Drosophila melanogaster: one gene and its partner. The protein of the gene in region 1 purifies or fractionates together with the protein of each later gene. This does not show direct contact. Each region holds a gene or a part of one and is shown in the gene's direction. Other genes may lie near its edges.

Region 1 (10,321 bases):
GAGGGCCTTCAAGTCAAAATGCCTCACGGAGTTTTCATAAAAGTTGATCACCTTGGTGGAGGGGTAAATAAATATTCTGGATTCATGCCAGTGTCCTGAGAAAATGATATGTGGATCCAAGTCGCTGATGATGGCTCTCAACAGGGGTCCTCCGCCAATGAGCAGCGGGGCATGGGATACGCCAATTCTTAGACGATCCGCATTGTTATCCCTATCCGGGTTGCTAAAGTCCAATAGCATGCGGTTTATCTTGAAGAAGCGTAATCGATTGTCATAGTCAAAGAGGTCTTCACTCATGAATTCGTTCTCAAAGCGTCTTTGGTTCGAGTTGGATATGTAGTCGCCATTCTCGCCGCCAATATCATTGTCACCCGGCACATGGACGCGCTGAAAAAAGGCAGAGATCATGCGGAACTGTTAGGTTTTAAGGGGTCAATCCCATTCGCAAAGTTGTATAATCGCTTTGGAAAAACTTTAAATTGAAATAATTATAGGTGCAACAACAATTTAAGGTGAAGCAAAAGCAGTACTCCTTACTTTTTTGTAGTTCTTATTCTGATAAATTCGTCTGAACCGCTGAACGTACTGCTTGTACTCTTGAGCCGTGGCAATGTTGCCTTCGTCCAACAGATCGCCCAGGAACACTATGATGTGAGGCTGTGTAAAGGCAAGAGCTCGCTCGAAAGTCTTCGCCAGGTATCTATCCGAATCGTACCTGGCTAAAGGACTGTGCGAAGATCGATCGTAGGAGTTTCCCAGTATCTGGGGATCAGCAATAAGCAGCAGGCGCGTGCAATTATCTATGTGGGAAAAATAGCTTGTTATGATGCGACTCAAAAACTGTGTTACGGCTTACCTAGTTTGCAATCGATTGGCTGCCAACTGGACTGGGCCATGTAGTAAACTATAAACTCGTTGAAGAAGACCAGCAGCAACGTAAGAGCCACAAAACCGCGGCACACTAATCTGTTTCTTTCGGGGATTATGGAAGGATTAAATAGTTTCGGTTAACAAAAGTAACGTCAACTATGACCCACCTATTGACGACGCGCAAGGAAGCCATAATCCCGGCTATGCCGCATCGGTTTGGATTGCTTGATTAATACTTTCGGTTGTCCTCTGGCAAATGCAACTGGCTTACATTGCGTCTCTATATGTACAATCTATATTTAAATACGCACTGCCCATGCAATATTTACGTAAGAATGCTCATATTTTCGGGAATGTAGAGCTGCTGCAACGGACGGCGCACATCTGACCACAACCGGCCCGCATCATCGCTTTCAGGGCGCACACGCTTAATTGGATTAGAAAGCAAAACATCTAGAACGGCCGGAACGTTGTGTTGCGTCCATTACCACATTCCTCCGATGTTTCGCCAATGCGCGCCATTGGCTTTTGAACGCGGGCAATTCCGTTACAGCGTTTGCCGGCTCCAGGTGCCAATAATTGTGCAATTATCTTTATCCTATGTTTGCACTTCTTGCGCCGCGACGGCTATGTGGCAACGCTACAGCTGTTTGCCAAGCACAACAAACAAAATTAGAGGTGAGCGCGTGATTAGCACTAACTGAATGCTCAAAGCAAAACAAACATGATACTCAAATGTTGTTCTTAAGTAAATTTATAAATACAGTTTAATAAGTTATTTATATCCCGATTTCATTCCGATTATATATCCGATTTCGTGACACGACCCCTTCCGCTCTCCTCGCTAGCACCAACAACACGTCAATGCTAATCAGCTGAAATGCAATCATGTACTAATCTGCGAAGAGTCTGGCCACACTTCCAAAAAACCTCTGGCAACGCTTCGTGCGTGGATTAATGGCGTGCCACTCCACATAAATGCTCCTTGGTTTTTGCTTATTTTTAACAACATAAGCACCGCAAAAGACTCTTGTAACCGAACATGTGTAAATAGCTGGACAGGATCAATCCCATCCATAGTGCAGTGATTCGAAGGAGACGCGCGCTAAGCGGTCATCGAAAGCAGGGGTTCGCAAAATTGCAAAAAAATTGTGCCGCTTCCTGCCCGTTGTGAAAAGTAAGATTCCGAGTTCCAAAAACTGCGCCGCAGTTTAATATAAAACATTGGGTAAATTGCAGTGGCAAGGGCGCTACAATTTGGGCGCTCTCTATTTGTTGTTTGCGAAAAAGAAATAACCAAACAATATTGGCCACTCTGTGTGCTTGTGGTGCTGCTGCCCATGTGTGTGTGTGCTTGTGTGGAGCTTCGTGCTTGTGTGTTCGTGATGCCACCCTCCTCCACTTTTTCAATGTTATTTTGAGGGTCGCATTCGTTGTTGTTGCTGTCGCACGGAATTGTTGCACCTGCCACTGAATCCTTGAAATCCTGGCTTGCAGGTAGCTCCCATTGGCGGTGAGGATGGCGGACATAGTGTACCCCACCGGATGCCGGCCGCTGGTCGAGGATTTGGGCACAGACGAGCTGATAAGGCGCCTCAAGGTGAGTCCTGCCCCTGGTTCCCTTAGCAAAACTTCTCACTTAGAATGATTCTGTTTTACAGACCCTCGCCAATGTTCTGCAGACCATGGACCAGGACGACAATCTCTACCAGCAATACATACCATTGGCCCTCCATCTGCTGGACGACTTCTTTATGCAACATCCATCCCGTGATGTCCAGCTCTTAATCGCGTGCTGCGTGGCGGATGTCCTGCGGGTTTATGCGCCAGAGGCTCCCTACAAAGAGCAAGATCAAATCAAAACTATATTTAAGTTTTTTATCAAGCAACTGCACGGTCTGAAGGATCCGCGCGATCCCTCTTTCAAGCGTTACTTCTATCTGCTGGAGAACCTTGCTTTTGTCAAGTCTTTTAATATGTGTTTCGAACTGGAGGACTGCCAAGAAATCTTCCAAGACCTGTTTAGTACCATCTTCAAGATTGTCAAGTAAGTCGAGCTCTTCCTTTATCCTGCGAACTCTTTATAATCACATGTTATATAATTTTCTAGTGACCAGCACAGTGTCAAGGTGACTAACTTTTTTCTAGATGTGCTAAGCCCGTTGATCACAGAAGCCGACAATCTGTCGGTGGAATTGTTGGATCTCATTCTGATTAACATCGTAGAGCCGTACAAATCTAACAACAAGTTTGCCTGCCAATTAACAGAACAACTTCTCACTAAAACGGGCGATGCTCTCGAGTCCACCATCAAAATGGTAATATTTCGTTGATCTTTGGTGCACCACGTTATTCAACCTAATCCCTGATCTACAGTTCTTTAACCGTGCTCTGGTCATGGATAAGCCAAACACAAAACTGTCCATTACAAACAAAATCTATGATATCATTTACGAGCTTAACCGCATCAATGCAGGCTTGTTGTGTTCAGTGCTACCTCAGCTGGAGAACAAACTGCTGTCCACGGACGATGCTGAGAGGCTAAGTGAGTAATTTATCAGCATGTACCTCTATTTGCATATTAATAAACATATTTTCGTTACTACAGAGGCAACCACTCTCTTGTCTCGTATGTTCTCCGAAAAGGACTCGCAACTAGCGAAAAAGTACCCCAACCTGTTGAAAATCTTCTTTGGGCGCTTCTGCGACATCACCGAACCAGTTCGCATCAAGTGTGTTCAGTCATCCATGCACTTCCTGCTCAATCACCCAAGTCTTCAGCACGATATCACCGAGAAATTGCGGCTTCGAAATCACGATCTTGACGAAGTGGTCCGCCACGAGGTGGTAATGGCTATTGTGGAAACTGCCAAGCGCGACTTCACCCTCGTTCTCGAAGCGCCCGATCTACTAGAAATTGTGCGCGAGCGGACGCTAGATAAGAAGTACAAAATTCGCAGGGATGCGATGAATGGTCTGGCCTACATCTACAAGCGCGCAATTTGCGAACCCAACGATCTAAGCACTGGCCTTAAGGTCAGGGTTGACTGGATTAAGAACAAGATACTACATGGATACTACAAAGTGGGCTTGGAGGACCGCCTGCTTGTGGAACGCCTACTTATCACCTGCCTGGTTCCCTATAAACTAGCTCCGGAAGAGCGCATGAAGAAGCTATATCATTTGCTAGGCGATCTCGATGCCAATGCCACCAAGGCTTTCGTCGAGCTGCAGAAGAACCAAATGAAGACACGCAATACGGTCAGTGATTGGATCAAGCTACACCACTCTAAGGAGTTCACGCCGCGCGTACTTAGTCAGCTCAGCGCCAAGCAGGCCAACATTGCCAAGTGGGTTCTATAATAAGTTTTCTTTTGATAGTTTGTAACCAGTGATGTGTTTTTTTTTCTTCAGACTGCTTCCAGATCCCCTAAAAGCGGCAGAGTACCTAACCCAGTTTAGCAACAACCTGCGAAAAGATGCTCAGCTCCTACGATGCATTAACATTGTCCTTAAACGCGACGTAAGCTGTCGGGAGTGTGCTGACACGATGGGAGTTCTCCTGAAAAAGCTTGGCGCCCACGTCCAATCGAATCTGTATTACAACACAGTTAAGATGCTGATTGAGCGCGTGGCATCAGTGATGGTGGACAAGGAGTCTATTGGCGTACTTATTAGGTAAATTGCTTTTAAGTGCCCTTTTGCCAGACTTAATCCGGTAATCTTTTTGCTCAGCCTAATTGAACAATGCATCGAGAAAGGGTCCATGTGTGAAGAGATCGGAATTTCGGCTCAGGAAGCGGGCGAGCGCGGACTCAAGTTGTTGGCCGTGAGTATAGAGATAATTTAAGTTATGATACAGAAATCCATTTGATTGCTTTATACTTGCAGATGCTTTCATACGTCTTTTCGGCTCATTTCTTCACCGATACTTCGCTGCGTCATTTAATTTCCCTGCTCAGTTACGAGCAGGATTATGTTGCACCACTGGTGCTAAAGACACTAACTCATCTGGGGCGCTATCAGCCACTCATTGACGACCCTACACCGGCTATTCTCGACGAGCTGGCTCCGGTGTGCAAGGACTTCGCACTTATTGGAACCCCCAAGCAAGCAAAGCACGCGGTGCGATGTATTTTCGTAAACAGCCAGTCGTCGGCTTCCACTGATGGAGCAACAAGTGGAGCTGGAAGTGCGTCCACAACTACACAAACAGTGCATCCTATTTTCAACGAGATCATCGAGACGCTTCGCCTAAAACTGACACCAAACTGTGAGCATCAGCGCACAAAGATTGTGACCTTGGGTCACATTGCCTACAATATGCCACAGGCCTTCCTAACGCCCATTAAGAATATGATTGCGCGACGAATTGTCAAAGAGCTGCTTATCCAAGAAGTTCCTGCGCAGCGAGACTACGAACTGCCAGAGGACAGTGATTGGTGTGCCCAAGAGAAACTACCGCCGGACACTCTATGTAAGCTGGATGCGCTCAAGGCTATGGCCAGGTGGCTTTTGGGATTGCGTACCGATGAGCACGCTGCCCAGAAAACATTCCGAATGCTGGCGGCGTTTGTTAACCAACGAGGCGATTTGCTCGGCCAGAACCGTCTTTGCGGTGCCGAGAAATCTTGGCTGCGCCTCGGGGCAGCCTGCGCCATGCTCAAAGTGTGCGAACAAAAGGGCGTAGGTGATCAGTACAGCGCTGAGCAGTATTTGCAGCTTTCCCAGCTGATGGTGAGTAGAGACATTCATCTTGTGCTTAGAACTTAGTCTCAATGTCTATCTCGGTGTTCCCGTAGGCTGATCCGGTGCCAGAAGTTCGGGAAATCTTTGCTCGCAAGCTGCACAAAGGATTAAGCAGAAGTTTGCCCAGGAACTGTTTGCCGCTGGACTTCATGGGCTTGTATGTGCTGGCTGGTCTAGAGACTGAGAGGAAGTGAGTAGTTCAAGAAACCATCCGATCCGTTCGGAGAAGTATTGATAAATATTTTCAACAGATTGCAAGACCTTGTGCGTCACTATGCAGAAACGGATGTAAACAAACGGCGGGAATATCTCAAGACTGTGGCTATGACATGTAGGTGTTTTACTTTTGGAATCATATTGTGTATTTTAACCATTAAATCAAATTATTCCAGCTCCCGACAGCTCAACGGAGTCACAATCATTACACATACTACCTGACTACATGCTGGCTTTCGCTATTCCCGTGCTGGTCCACGATCCACGCTTCACGAATCACGAGGACTACGTACAGCTGCGCAAGATGGAGAAGTGCCTGCGTTTCATTCTGGAGCCGCTGATGGCCAAACGAGAAACGTTTGTCCATAGCTTCTACAAGCAGCTGCTGCAGCTGATAAAGCATCGCGAGTTCAGTCTGGGGTCGGACAAGCGCGACAACTATGTATGTCACTCAATCATTTTCCCAGGCTTTCCCTTCTAAATTATATTTATACATATATTTTTCGGTTATCAGAAAATGTGGGCGCTCTGCGATCTTGCCATGTACATTATCGACTCCAAGTTCAGTCCATTTGATGGCAACACGAGCACCTTTTCCATGCCGCTGGCTTTGCCAGAAATGTATTATAAAGAGCCTGCCGTTGCGAATTTCCAAAACAATGACGTCTATATACCGCTGGACGTGTATACGCTGGGAGCCAAATCCACGAGCAAAGCTGCCGCAACAGCAATGACAACGTCGCGAGCAGCAGTGGCTCCAAAGAGACCGGCGGAACAGTCAATCATGGATGATGAAAATCCGCAGGTGAGTGAGGTCCTTGGAAAATACTGAGAATGAATCTAACTAGTGTGTGAAATTTGATTTCAGGAGAACAATCTGTTCGACAACATACGAGCGGCTGACACTACGGAGCCCATGGCCAAACGAACGCGCGCAGGAGCCGCTTCAGCCAAATCATAGGGGCTGGGATGGCGCAGATTGGAGGTGGAGAGAGCGCATACTTGTTAGTTTAGTTATGTTTAGTCTAGGCGCCTAAGTTAACTAAATATTTAAGACGTAGGAAAGACCACGATAGTTGTTAAACCGACACTACCTTTATCCACACCATGCAACTCACAACTAAGCACCCAGAATTCGGATTGTTCAGTTTCGCATTCAGTATGTACTATATCAATTTTGTGAGATACACCAAAAACACAAACATCAAAAAAAGAAAAACGAAAAAAGTGTCGAAAAATCTGTTAACCGCAACTCTGTAAAAGTAATTATTTATCATTTAAAATGTTTTATCCTGTTCTTTTATAGTGTTTGATTTATTGATTGATTTTACCATTATTCTTAGACTATTGTATATCGAATAAAAAAAGGAAAGTATATCGCGCATAAGTTAAAGTACGAAGTAAAGTAATGAAAACGTAAACAGAGCCTTATTAAGTAATTAAAATTAACTTTTCTATGATCGCAGTTAATTTTTAGTTAATGTAACATCATCATAATACATACAATTGTCTCGTTAAATTCAACAAGTATGCATTCAAAATGCATTCAAAAAGAAAACCTAAAAGCGTAAGAATTGGAAAGAAAACTACAAAGATAAAAATAAAATGAATACACACATTAAACTATAAAACATGTACATTAAACAATTATTATGGTTTTTAAATTACAAATAAACGTATGATTATTATTTAAATGTTAAAATGGATATCGAAAATGGGCTTTTAGTTTAAATTATTAAAATGTTGTACTTTTTTAATATAAAGTAAGTTTAAAAAATGGCTAAAATATAATTTTTGTTTCTAACTTTTTTCTTTTCAATTTCAAAGTCGCTCTTAGGAGGGCTAAAACTAATTTGAATATTGATAACAAATGAACTATCGATAAGAGGCCGTCGATAGTTCACGGTGCAACATCAACTCTCCCATCACTAGTTCCAATTGCATTTTCTGCGTTGTTTTTTTTCGGGGGTGTGACGTTTTTCTTGTTGTTTTTGTGCTATTGTGAAATAAACCAAACAATTGTCGAGTTAAATAGACACTGATTGTTGTTTTGCCGCGCAGTTCGAACAACGAAAACTAATTCCAAACAAAGCTTACGCCGGCAAAACCACGAAATGCAGGTGGAACCAGCCGAAGTCGGCTGTGACGTCACGCATCGCCAGCAGGAGAAAAACAAAACCAATGGGATTTTCTCAACGGCAGTCAGAAGTAAAAAAAACGGGCAACCGAACGGACGGATCTACACCTCCACGCCGAAGACCTCGCATCCGAAACTTGAGCACTACGTAGGTGTTGCTAAACCCTCGGAAAAGGGGCGAGTGGGAGTGGTGACCGCCCTCGATCCGCTGATCAAAAAGGTGGCCCTTCTCTTTGGGACTCTTATCATTGGCTACAAAAGCGTCATCTTAACGAGTAAGTGTGCCAAGCTGGGGGCTAAACGTAAATATATTGTGGGTTTATTGGATTTCCATTTGTTTATTTCTGTATATCCCCGGTGTGGCGGGGGTGGGAATTCAAGGTTGCAATTGTCGGTTGCGTCGTCTTTACTCGCACTTTGTTTATATTCTCGCGTTTATAAATAGTTGAAGTTCGTGTGATCTCATAGCGGTGGTGTTTGTTCCCCCTGCATAAGCCGCCGAATAGCGAAAAAACGTCTATATAAGGAAGGCAAATTGTTTGATGCGCATTAGCCGTCTCATTTGCATACAAACGTACTGAAGACCTTAGAAAAATCGTCAAAGAGTGATTAGTTGCTTCATCTTTGAGGCAAAATGCCATTAGTTAGTTAATTGTTTGCCCAGCGGCTATTAGTTATTCATCTACGCTTAGCTTAACGGTATTTAGCACTGGGCTTTCGTCACGCGACACATACATGTATATTCTAATGTATGTAATATAAACATTAGAAGGTACCGCTAGAAGGCCCAGGAAAATAACGAATTTTACATTTCTGACGATATAGCAATCTTTATTTGCTGCAGGTTTTGCATTAGGGTGGCTCCAAAAAAAGTGCGACAAAAAATTTAATAAAGTTTAACAAAGCTCAAAGAAAAAACACATGTTTAATCAACTATTTGTTAAATAATTCAAACATATAAATTTGATATAAGCAGAAAACAAATTTTATACATTGTCGAGAAAAGAAATAATTAAACCAATACAAACGAATATTTATTTCCAATCTTTCCCATCGGTCCAAATCTATAAAAAGCGCAACCTTGCTATTTATGGTGTAACGAATGGGGTTTCTGTACATTTTTGCAAATTTCTTTGCCCACTAATTCTTTCCATTTAGCCAAATTGCTTTGATTCCCTCATAGCGTACATATCTGACTAATAAATTTGAACCACCCTAGTTATAAACCCAACATTTTGACGTGTTTATCACGCTAGGACTGATAACAGTGAAATCAATAGAACGACACTCAAAATGAGATACTAACGAGCTTTGGGCGTTCTCTTTGCAGTGCCATACATCACGGGCGATTCCATCCAGGTGCTGAGCCACCAGGTGCAGAGTAGGTGGAACGAGACCTTGGTGTGGGCCACCAGGCACCAGCTGGGCTCCAGGCTGAGTCCCCTGCTGTGTGGCCTTCTAGTGGCAGCTTTCGCGTACGGAATCGTGTACTTGGACAGCGCGGTGCCCGGCGTAAATCCCCCCTCGCCCTTTACGCCGCGTTCCAAGAAACGGTAAGCTCTGGGGAAATCACCTTTAATTATTCATTATAACATGGAGTCTTTACTTCAATTTGCAGTTTCCGCGAGGAGAAGACTGCCTCGATGCACTTGGGCTACTTGTGCGCCCTGTTCTGCGGATTTCTGGTCACGGTCTTCATGTACTTCGACTTGTACTCGTAGAACTGAATACCCATTTCCTTCCAATTAGTTCAATAAGTTCACCAGTATTAGACTTTATACGCCCACTTCGGAATTTGTATTTGTTGTAGTCCTTGAAACTGTGCAATGCTCCTGGAGAGAATCGTCAGGGGGCATTTTGAAGCTAACTTATTTCCTAGGTATATTAATTATAAGTTACTAACTCTATAAATTATTCATGATTTGTAAACTACAAAAGTACAAAATGAAACATTTCACTGTTGATTGGAGGCCAGGATCGAAAAGCTTAGGCTAGCATATTTATACCTTGTGAAAAGTACACTATCGCCTGGCCTAAAAATCTCAAGAAAACTGTATCCTTAAAAAATAAATTACTTTTGCATAGTGTTTTGCAATAAAATATACGAGGTAACATTTTCAATGCGCAGAAATTGCTGTTGCCAGTCAATGTCGCTTACCTGGTCAATCTTAAATGTTTTCAAGCGATTTTCGCCAATAAACTGGCCCACGAGATGGACAAAGCAGCCTTTTAATGAATAAAACTTTGGTTATGTAATGGTTATCAGTTTCCTGCATTTTACCTGGGCTCCAAGTACTCATAACGCCTTCGAAATCGTAGTAAATTCCCTGAAGGACGGGCCCCGATTCT
Region 2 (7,431 bases), 7.3 Mb from region 1:
ACTTGTCCTCCTCCATTTTCCGTTCGCGATTGAGTGCGTCCGCTTGGTTTTGAGCAAATTGTCCAGCTGCTTCCATCGCGACCCGAACTCGTGCTCAAACGAATTGGGATCGGCGAAGCGCGGACCAATGCTACGATCCTGGTTGAAGTCGGGCATCTTTTGATGATGAACTCCTTCTCTGTGTTGTCGTTCACCTCCATCGGATCAACCAGACACGGTCTGAGGGAAGCAGTCAGAAAGAAGCACTTCTCATTGCACATCCATCCGGCAGGCGCTGGCCGATGACTTCTTGGCAAACTCAACTATGCCCTCGCCAATATGCTTGCCACGATCGTCGACGGTGATGCTGGCCCTCTATCAACAATTCAAATGTAAGTTATCTAAATTCGATAAAGTTGATTAGATTATCCCGGGCACTTAATTGTATACAAATATTAGGTATTCTTCACATTTGGGGGGGGGGGGGAGTTAAATAGGGGGGCACGCCTGCAGAGCCGATTCAATCGATGTTATATCAGTTCAGTTTGTATTAAAATGGTGTAACTGGATTGAAATGACGGCACTGCAGATGTGGCTCACATATCAATTGCATATTGTATTTATTTAAATGTATAACACAAATATAGCAAAAGCGCCATAACGAAACATCAAAGGCGGACGGGTCCAATGCACTTGCTAAGAACAATGAACCGGCCACTGCAGCTGCTGGCCAAAATCAAGCGAATCAGAACGCCAACAAGGGCCCAAATCAACGGCAAGGACAAAACCAAAATCAAAATCAAGTCCATGGTCAAGGAAATCAAGGAGGATTAGGAAATCAAGGAGGAGCAGGCAATAAAGGAGGCCAAGGAAATCAAGGAGGAGCCGGAATTCAGGGAAGTGGTCAAGGATTCAGAGGTCGCAATGCTGGTAACAATCAAGGTGGCGGTTTCTCCGGAAGCCCGCAGAACCAGCAGACAACCGAAACCGTAGTCGGTAGTAGCGTGGTCCACGCCCTGGCGGAGGTGCAGGTGGCACGATGAACAGCACCAATATGGGTGGTGGTAGCGATGGAGATGGTGGTCCGCGCGGCTGTGAAGACTTCATCATTTAACATCGGTTTCGCAGGATTTCTGGGCCCACCTTTGAACTGGAAACAGTGGAAGTGCCCACGGAGACGAAGTTCTCCCATCGAAATCGTCTCTATGTGGGCAACCTGACCAATGACATCACCGACGCTGAGCTACGCGAGACGTTCAAGCCATACGAGCCATACGATTAGCGAGATCTTCTCGAACCTGGATAAGAACTTTAAATTCCTAAAGGTCGACTATCATCCCAATGCCGAGAAAGCTAAACGCGCCCTGGACGGATCGATGCGAAAGGGTCGCCACGATTCGCACCGAATGTCATTTTGCGGGTGATTTTGCGGAAGAAATCTCACACCGATACTTAAAACCATCGATAGTATCGATAGTTCCATCGATGGTTTTCCAGCTCTATTACAAACAATAATACCAACTGGGTCTAGTTTAAGAAAATTTCTGTTCCCACACTGAACTTTGCTCCTGAATTGTGTTTTCACTTGACGGACCCACGCGTCCGCGTCCTGACTTTGAGACTCCCGCCCATACACTGCTCGACTACCCTCGTGCACTTATTACTCACTACATGCTTTAGCTGCCTGGTCCAGAGGCGCTGCTGCCGTCTATAGGCTGTTTTATTTTCCCGTTACGCACGGCTCGCTAGAGTCCAAGGTCCACGTGTCCAGTAAACACCTTTACCGTTCGACCTCTGTGCCCTTGGCCGGTCTCTCCGCTTTACCGGGGTCCAAGGTCCAATCTTCAGCGTTTGACCTGACTCCTCCCGCATTACTGCTTTCTGCTCTGTTCTCCTGGACTTATTGTGAGTTTTAAGACCCCTCACAGTATTGCTGTTTTGCAGCAGGGGAGAGAAAAAGAATACGTATGCATATACGATATATACGTTGAGTATGCCCTAAGCCTTTGGTAAGCGTGGAAAGGCTGATTATGCATTTATATTTGGTGGCCGTAAATTGGGTGCCCACCTCCGCCGAATCCGCCTACCGACTCATTTAGTCTCCCTTTGTGAACCGGTATGTGCGCGCTTTGTAAGCAATTTTTTTAGGCCAATTTTTTTCACACTCTCGCACACTCAATGTAAGGTAAGTTTTTAGTAAGTGAGCAAACATGCTCAATAAAACGACGCTATGTGGCGCTTTTCGACTATAATTCGATTGATCGAGCTCTGCAGGTACCGGCTACGAGCTCCACATTTATTGCCAATTGTTCTTCAATCGTTGAATTATTAATTCACAAAATATTTCTCATGTATGAGAAGGACAATTGACTTTACCAAGACGCAAATTTGTTTTAAGCCTGTAGAAAATAATTTTACGTATAATTGCACAAAAAGGTAAGGTAATCATATATCATATATCAATAATTTGTTTTCCCAAGATCCATGATCTGGAAGAAATGAACTAAAACAAAATCGATTTATTCGCATACAATTGCACATCCTTGAATATTCATATCTTGTAAGCATACGCATTTCATATGGAAAAAGAGATTATGCGATATCGGTTGTTTTGCCGTTTTGAACGGCATTTCCTAATGAAGACCTTTTTATCGACTCGTTTTCACTGTTAACATTTATTGAAATAAGTATCGGGACAGGAGAAGTAGCTTCAAGTCGGTAATGCCCTAAATTGCAATAAAACATTTTTCTTTTAGAAATATCTTTCAAACATCCAAGCTCTCTACGTTTTATTGAGTTGGTGTGTAACTACATAGTCTGGAAAGGAGTATTATATATGAAGTATTAACGTTTCGGTCTGAAAAGGTATTTTTTTATTAAGTTTAGCGCGGCCACACTATCCTACAGGTCGGCCATATTCTTCAAACACTATTTCGCAAACTAAAAAATTACAAGTACTTATTATTGTAAATGTATAAGTTGGTATTTAATTAAAACGCAAAGGAGAACCGGAGTAATTCGTTTATATTGAACTGTGGCAATTCGTTAATAATTGTTGATCGCAATAACATAACGGTAAATGGTAATGCTACCGCAATTTTTTTAACTACGTAAGTAGTTGTTTATTATAAATCAATTTAAAGGGATTTATCTAATAGATTTTTAATTTATAAACTAAAAAGATAAGATAGTACATAAAGTGACTTATAATACAGCTGGACAACATCCATATATTTTAATATATTCATATAAACATTGTTTCCAATTACATTGTTTATCATGTTGATGAAATAATGTTTGGTTGTAGCGTAATGAATAATAGATTTATTTTTTTTAGCTCCTAGAATCAAAGTTGTGTTGTAATCTATCGGATTATCCTTACATTTAATATGGGGGAACGTGACAACCCAACCGTACCTGTAACAACATTAGCTGGTTTAACCAGCACTTCTGATTGTAAGTATTTTCTGTGCAAGAAAATATAATGTGTATGTACAAGTTTAAAAACTTTTAATATTTTTCTCGTTTAAATGCAAGTGCTAAGCGAGCTACCAGTGGCGGATTCGCTCCAGAGTGCTGCGTCCTTAAATAAATCTTTATTGTTCCATGCTTTGGTAGCTAACGAGTCTAGCAATTTACTTTCTATGCGAAACGAAAATCTAGTTCGACAATTGGTAACTGCCATTGAGAGAACAAACTCCGATAATATGTTAGTTGTTTAATTGATTGTATGTTTTGCTTTATTAAAATAACTTGTATTTTAGAGAGTTAATACATTGCCCAGTTCAAGACACAGCAACTAACTGTAGTACTTATCCTGAGCTTCTCCAGGGAATATATCATTTTCGCCCAGCGGTTTTTAACACTTCCATAAAAATACGTATGTTTTAATAATAAAAGCAACCATTTGTGTATTACATGAATTTCATCCACAGACTCTCCGGACCAACATACTGCTAATGCTCGATTAGAGGCAAAGAAAATGCAAATTGATTCCTATTCAATACCGGAATGTTATGCATCACCAACAAATTTGTCGATTTCAAATGAACATCAATTGCAAGACGCTCAAGCCTGCTTCAATCAGCTTACTAGGTGGCGTATATATTTTATTATTCTACAAGCCTTATATTTAATGCATTTTTCTGTTTTAGTATGACCTCAAAAGAAATCTTAGAAGAATTTTCACAAATAAATTTTAAGGAAAATGCAACAGAAAAAGATAAAATTGACGTTATTGAAAATTCAGATTTAAATGTGACTAAGATACTTTCACAAAATACTCTAAAAAAAAAGTCTAACACACCAGAAAGAAGTACGGTGCAATCAATACAAGAACAGTTTTTTATTCAGCAACAAGAAGCCAATTATAATTTAAAACATGATTTAAACCAAGTATCAACAAATGTTGGTCAAATTCAAAATATTTCTGATACTTTTCCCCAAGAGCCGTCAAATTTTAATTTAAATTCTGTAAATATCCCAAACATGTTATATGTACAAAGTCCACCTTTCACTGAATCAGAACCAACTCAAGCACACCACTCTTCAATTGAATATTTAAAAAAAAAAAAATCACAAATTCTTGACGTCAGCATTTTAAATCGACAACAGGTGTTAGAAAATACCAGCTTACATATTATTAATAAAAGTTCAACGTACCAAACGAACCAAAATGTATCAACAACTACATCGACATCTACTTCCTCAAGTGGCAAGTCCCAGGTCCGGGTATGTATAAATCGCCTTAGTATTGAGGATTCTCGCCTTATGCAACAGAGTATTAAAAAGTTTGTACAAAAGTCACCAGAATTGGCTAGAAGCATGGGGTTACTACAAGAAACGTGCCAGCAGCAACATGAAAACTTGAATATTATACCCACGAGTGCGGAAGAATGTGTATTAGAGAGTCGTGCTTCCAGTACAAATAATACAGTCAAAATCCCTATTGATACATTTTCTACTATAAAAGCCGATGAAAAACGATCCGCGAAAAGAAAACTTGCCATATCAATTGGTGACATCCCACCGGAACAAATATGTAAGTAATGAGTAATAATTTCCTTATACAAAAATTAATTGATCAAAATTATATTATAGTTTCAAAGCCTAAAATGCGTCGGGTCGAAAGAATTACACCTCTTTCGAACACAAAGTGTGTGAAGGAGGAAGTCACCCGTTCGCAAACATATCAACAATTTATTCGAAACATGGATCACATAATTGAAATATTAGACGATAGTGAATCTCCTAACTTTGACTCAGGTAAGTTCAAATACTCTGTTAAAGCTAGAGAATATTTATGAAACTTTAAGACCTATTATTAATTAGTTCGATTAATTGACACTTATGTTTACAAATATTTTTACCCGTTACTCTTAGAGTAAAGGGGTATACTAGATCCGTTGAAAAGTATGTTACAGGCAGAATAAAGCGTTTCCGTCTATATTAAGTATATATGTATATCCTTGATCAGGATCAATAGCCGATTCGATCTAGTCATATCACTCTGTCCGTATGAACGTCGAGATTGGAGGAAATATATGAACTAGAAGGTTGATATTCAGCATTCAAATTCTAGAGACAAAGATGCAGCGAAAGCTTGAATGCATTCCCCAATTAATATTGATGCAGCGAAATTGATGCAGCGAAAGCTTGAATGCATTCCCCAATTAATATTGGGGAATAAAATGAGAAATGTTTTTTAAATTGCTCTAAAGTGTGTGGTTGACCGGTTTGACAGCTTTAGGGCGTTAGAGTGGGCGTGGCAAAAAGTTTTTGGCAAATCGATAGAAATTTAAAAAATTAAAAATATGTGAAAAAACAGGAACATACTAAAATCGACTAAATACAGCAATTTCGTTATCTCTAAAGCTTGCCCTATAACTTCACAATACTATTGAGCTAGGCTTACGACTATATTTTCTTTTTCATAAGACGAAGGCTGTCCACAGAGTTTTTATTGGTGACAAATCTTGTCAATATATTCCGATTTTTTGCCAACTTGGTACTGGTTTAAACCATCAAAGGAATGCCAGCTTTGATCATCTGGATGATCCGTGTATTTCTTTAACCCTCTTGATTCTCCTTGTCATGGGTTAGCTGAAAGGTTACTGAGGTACTTAGGAGGTAGTTACAGTTTTAAGTCACAGTTTTGACAATAATCAAGTAATAATAATAAATAATACATTTCTTTCAGTGATTTTAGTAAAACGCTTGTTGATTGCACGCATTGACCTTGTTATTTAGTTGAACAGAATCAGAGAAGGGTATTGATAGCATAAGTATTTTTTTTTATCAGGAATTCAAATCTAATTAGGGTGAGTGCAGTTTACTGAGACTATGCCGTTTTGTTTTCGCTTTTGATGGTATTTCAGGGAAATATTTCTGGTTGCGTGGATTTATAGTTTTTTTTTTTAGTTTAGCATTTCATCGCATACTTTGAACTGTTCTAAAGAGACTGACATGAATGAATGATTATAAAATATTAAAAATGGTTTAAAGGTTAAATAAGTCGTAGGACTTAAGAAATGTTTATTTGAAAAACTTTTACCAACTCTGTTTCTAGTTTCATGTCATGTGTGTATATTGCTAACTTGGCGATGGTCACAAAAGGAACACTTTAAAAGTAAAGCTAGCGTAAATTATCTTTATGAACGACCCTTCCTTTTATGAGGATTGCTGTCCAGAGGTCTGCTTCGAATATTTTTTCCGTATACCGTGGGGTAACTTTGTTTCCCAAGGGATTGTTTTGTTTTACCAAGACGGTTTTTCCTACCTTAGCTGTTTTTCCTGAGCTTCATTAACCATTTCTACTATTTTGTTTGCCAGTTCGGGAGGAGTTGAATGAATAATGTCGAATGGTCTTTTATTGGTGGTTGCCTAAATAATTAGGTTGACTGTAGGCATTCATTTCAAGGTTCAGGCATCAAGATATTTCCAAAAGCGTGCTGTGAAACCTTTCTACCTGTCCGTTTGACGTACTATGAATGGTGGTGCGTTCTCTATCTCAACATTGAAACGATTTGATAAAAGTGACTTGATTAACTCGGATTTAATCGACGATTCATTGTTACAAAATATTGTCTTTGAATGGGGATAGAAGTTCATTAATTGAATAATTGCAGGTTCTAAATCAGTTATCGTTCGTTAGCCAATGGCAATAGCACAATAGCGAATTTGGAAAGTTTATCGATAGATATCAAAAAGTACTTCCTGTCCGTGGAAAATATATCAATGTGCTATGTATCGCCTACATGTATCGCCTACAAGCCTTCCCAAGGCTTTGATTTTGCGGATGGCGGTTGTTATGGGCTTCTTGACAAACCAAGCAGTTAGCTACAAAACTAGCCGTTAATTTTCCTACCTCCCTTAGGAAAAAAGCCGTATTGAAGAATTTGTTTTACATTCTCCTGAGCTTCCCCATGCGTTCTGTTGTGCTCCAAAGATACT

The links.
Region 2: the proteins of pds5 (region 1) and Nipped-B purify together in Drosophila melanogaster (affinity purification with western blotting, with the first as the bait; one study listed by BioGRID). This does not show direct contact.

Annotation. Positions count from the first base shown.
Region 1 is NT_033778.4:12,026,186-12,036,506, forward strand, and holds pds5 (precocious dissociation of sisters 5), read left to right. Parts: upstream 1-1,799; 5' UTR 1,800-2,047; intron 2,048-2,109; exon of another isoform or gene 2,110-2,367; 5' UTR 2,368-2,389; coding exon 2,390-2,470; intron 2,471-2,531; coding exon 2,532-2,917; intron 2,918-2,980; coding exon 2,981-3,188; intron 3,189-3,246; coding exon 3,247-3,415; intron 3,416-3,478; coding exon 3,479-4,220; intron 4,221-4,284; coding exon 4,285-4,548; intron 4,549-4,605; coding exon 4,606-4,699; intron 4,700-4,761; coding exon 4,762-5,607; intron 5,608-5,672; coding exon 5,673-5,809; intron 5,810-5,870; coding exon 5,871-5,950; intron 5,951-6,011; coding exon 6,012-6,277; intron 6,278-6,349; coding exon 6,350-6,640; intron 6,641-6,703; coding exon 6,704-6,796; 3' UTR 6,797-7,540; downstream 7,541-10,321. Other genes in the region: Mppe (metallophosphoesterase), read right to left, coding at 1-414, 538-800, 857-972, 1,038-1,063; CG8321 (uncharacterized protein), read left to right, coding at 7,950-8,247, 9,303-9,525, 9,591-9,693; CG43191 (uncharacterized protein), read right to left, coding at 10,044-10,198, 10,254-10,321.
Region 2 is NT_033778.4:4,724,437-4,731,867, reverse strand, and holds the start of Nipped-B (Nipped-B), read left to right. Parts: upstream 1-2,850; 5' UTR 2,851-3,089; intron 3,090-3,316; 5' UTR 3,317-3,368; coding exon 3,369-3,435; intron 3,436-3,516; coding exon 3,517-3,688; intron 3,689-3,743; coding exon 3,744-3,859; intron 3,860-3,914; coding exon 3,915-4,074; intron 4,075-4,133; coding exon 4,134-5,020; intron 5,021-5,079; coding exon 5,080-5,244; intron 5,245-7,431. UniProt on the Drosophila melanogaster protein: Plays a structural role in chromatin. Involved in sister chromatid cohesion, probably via an interaction with the cohesin complex.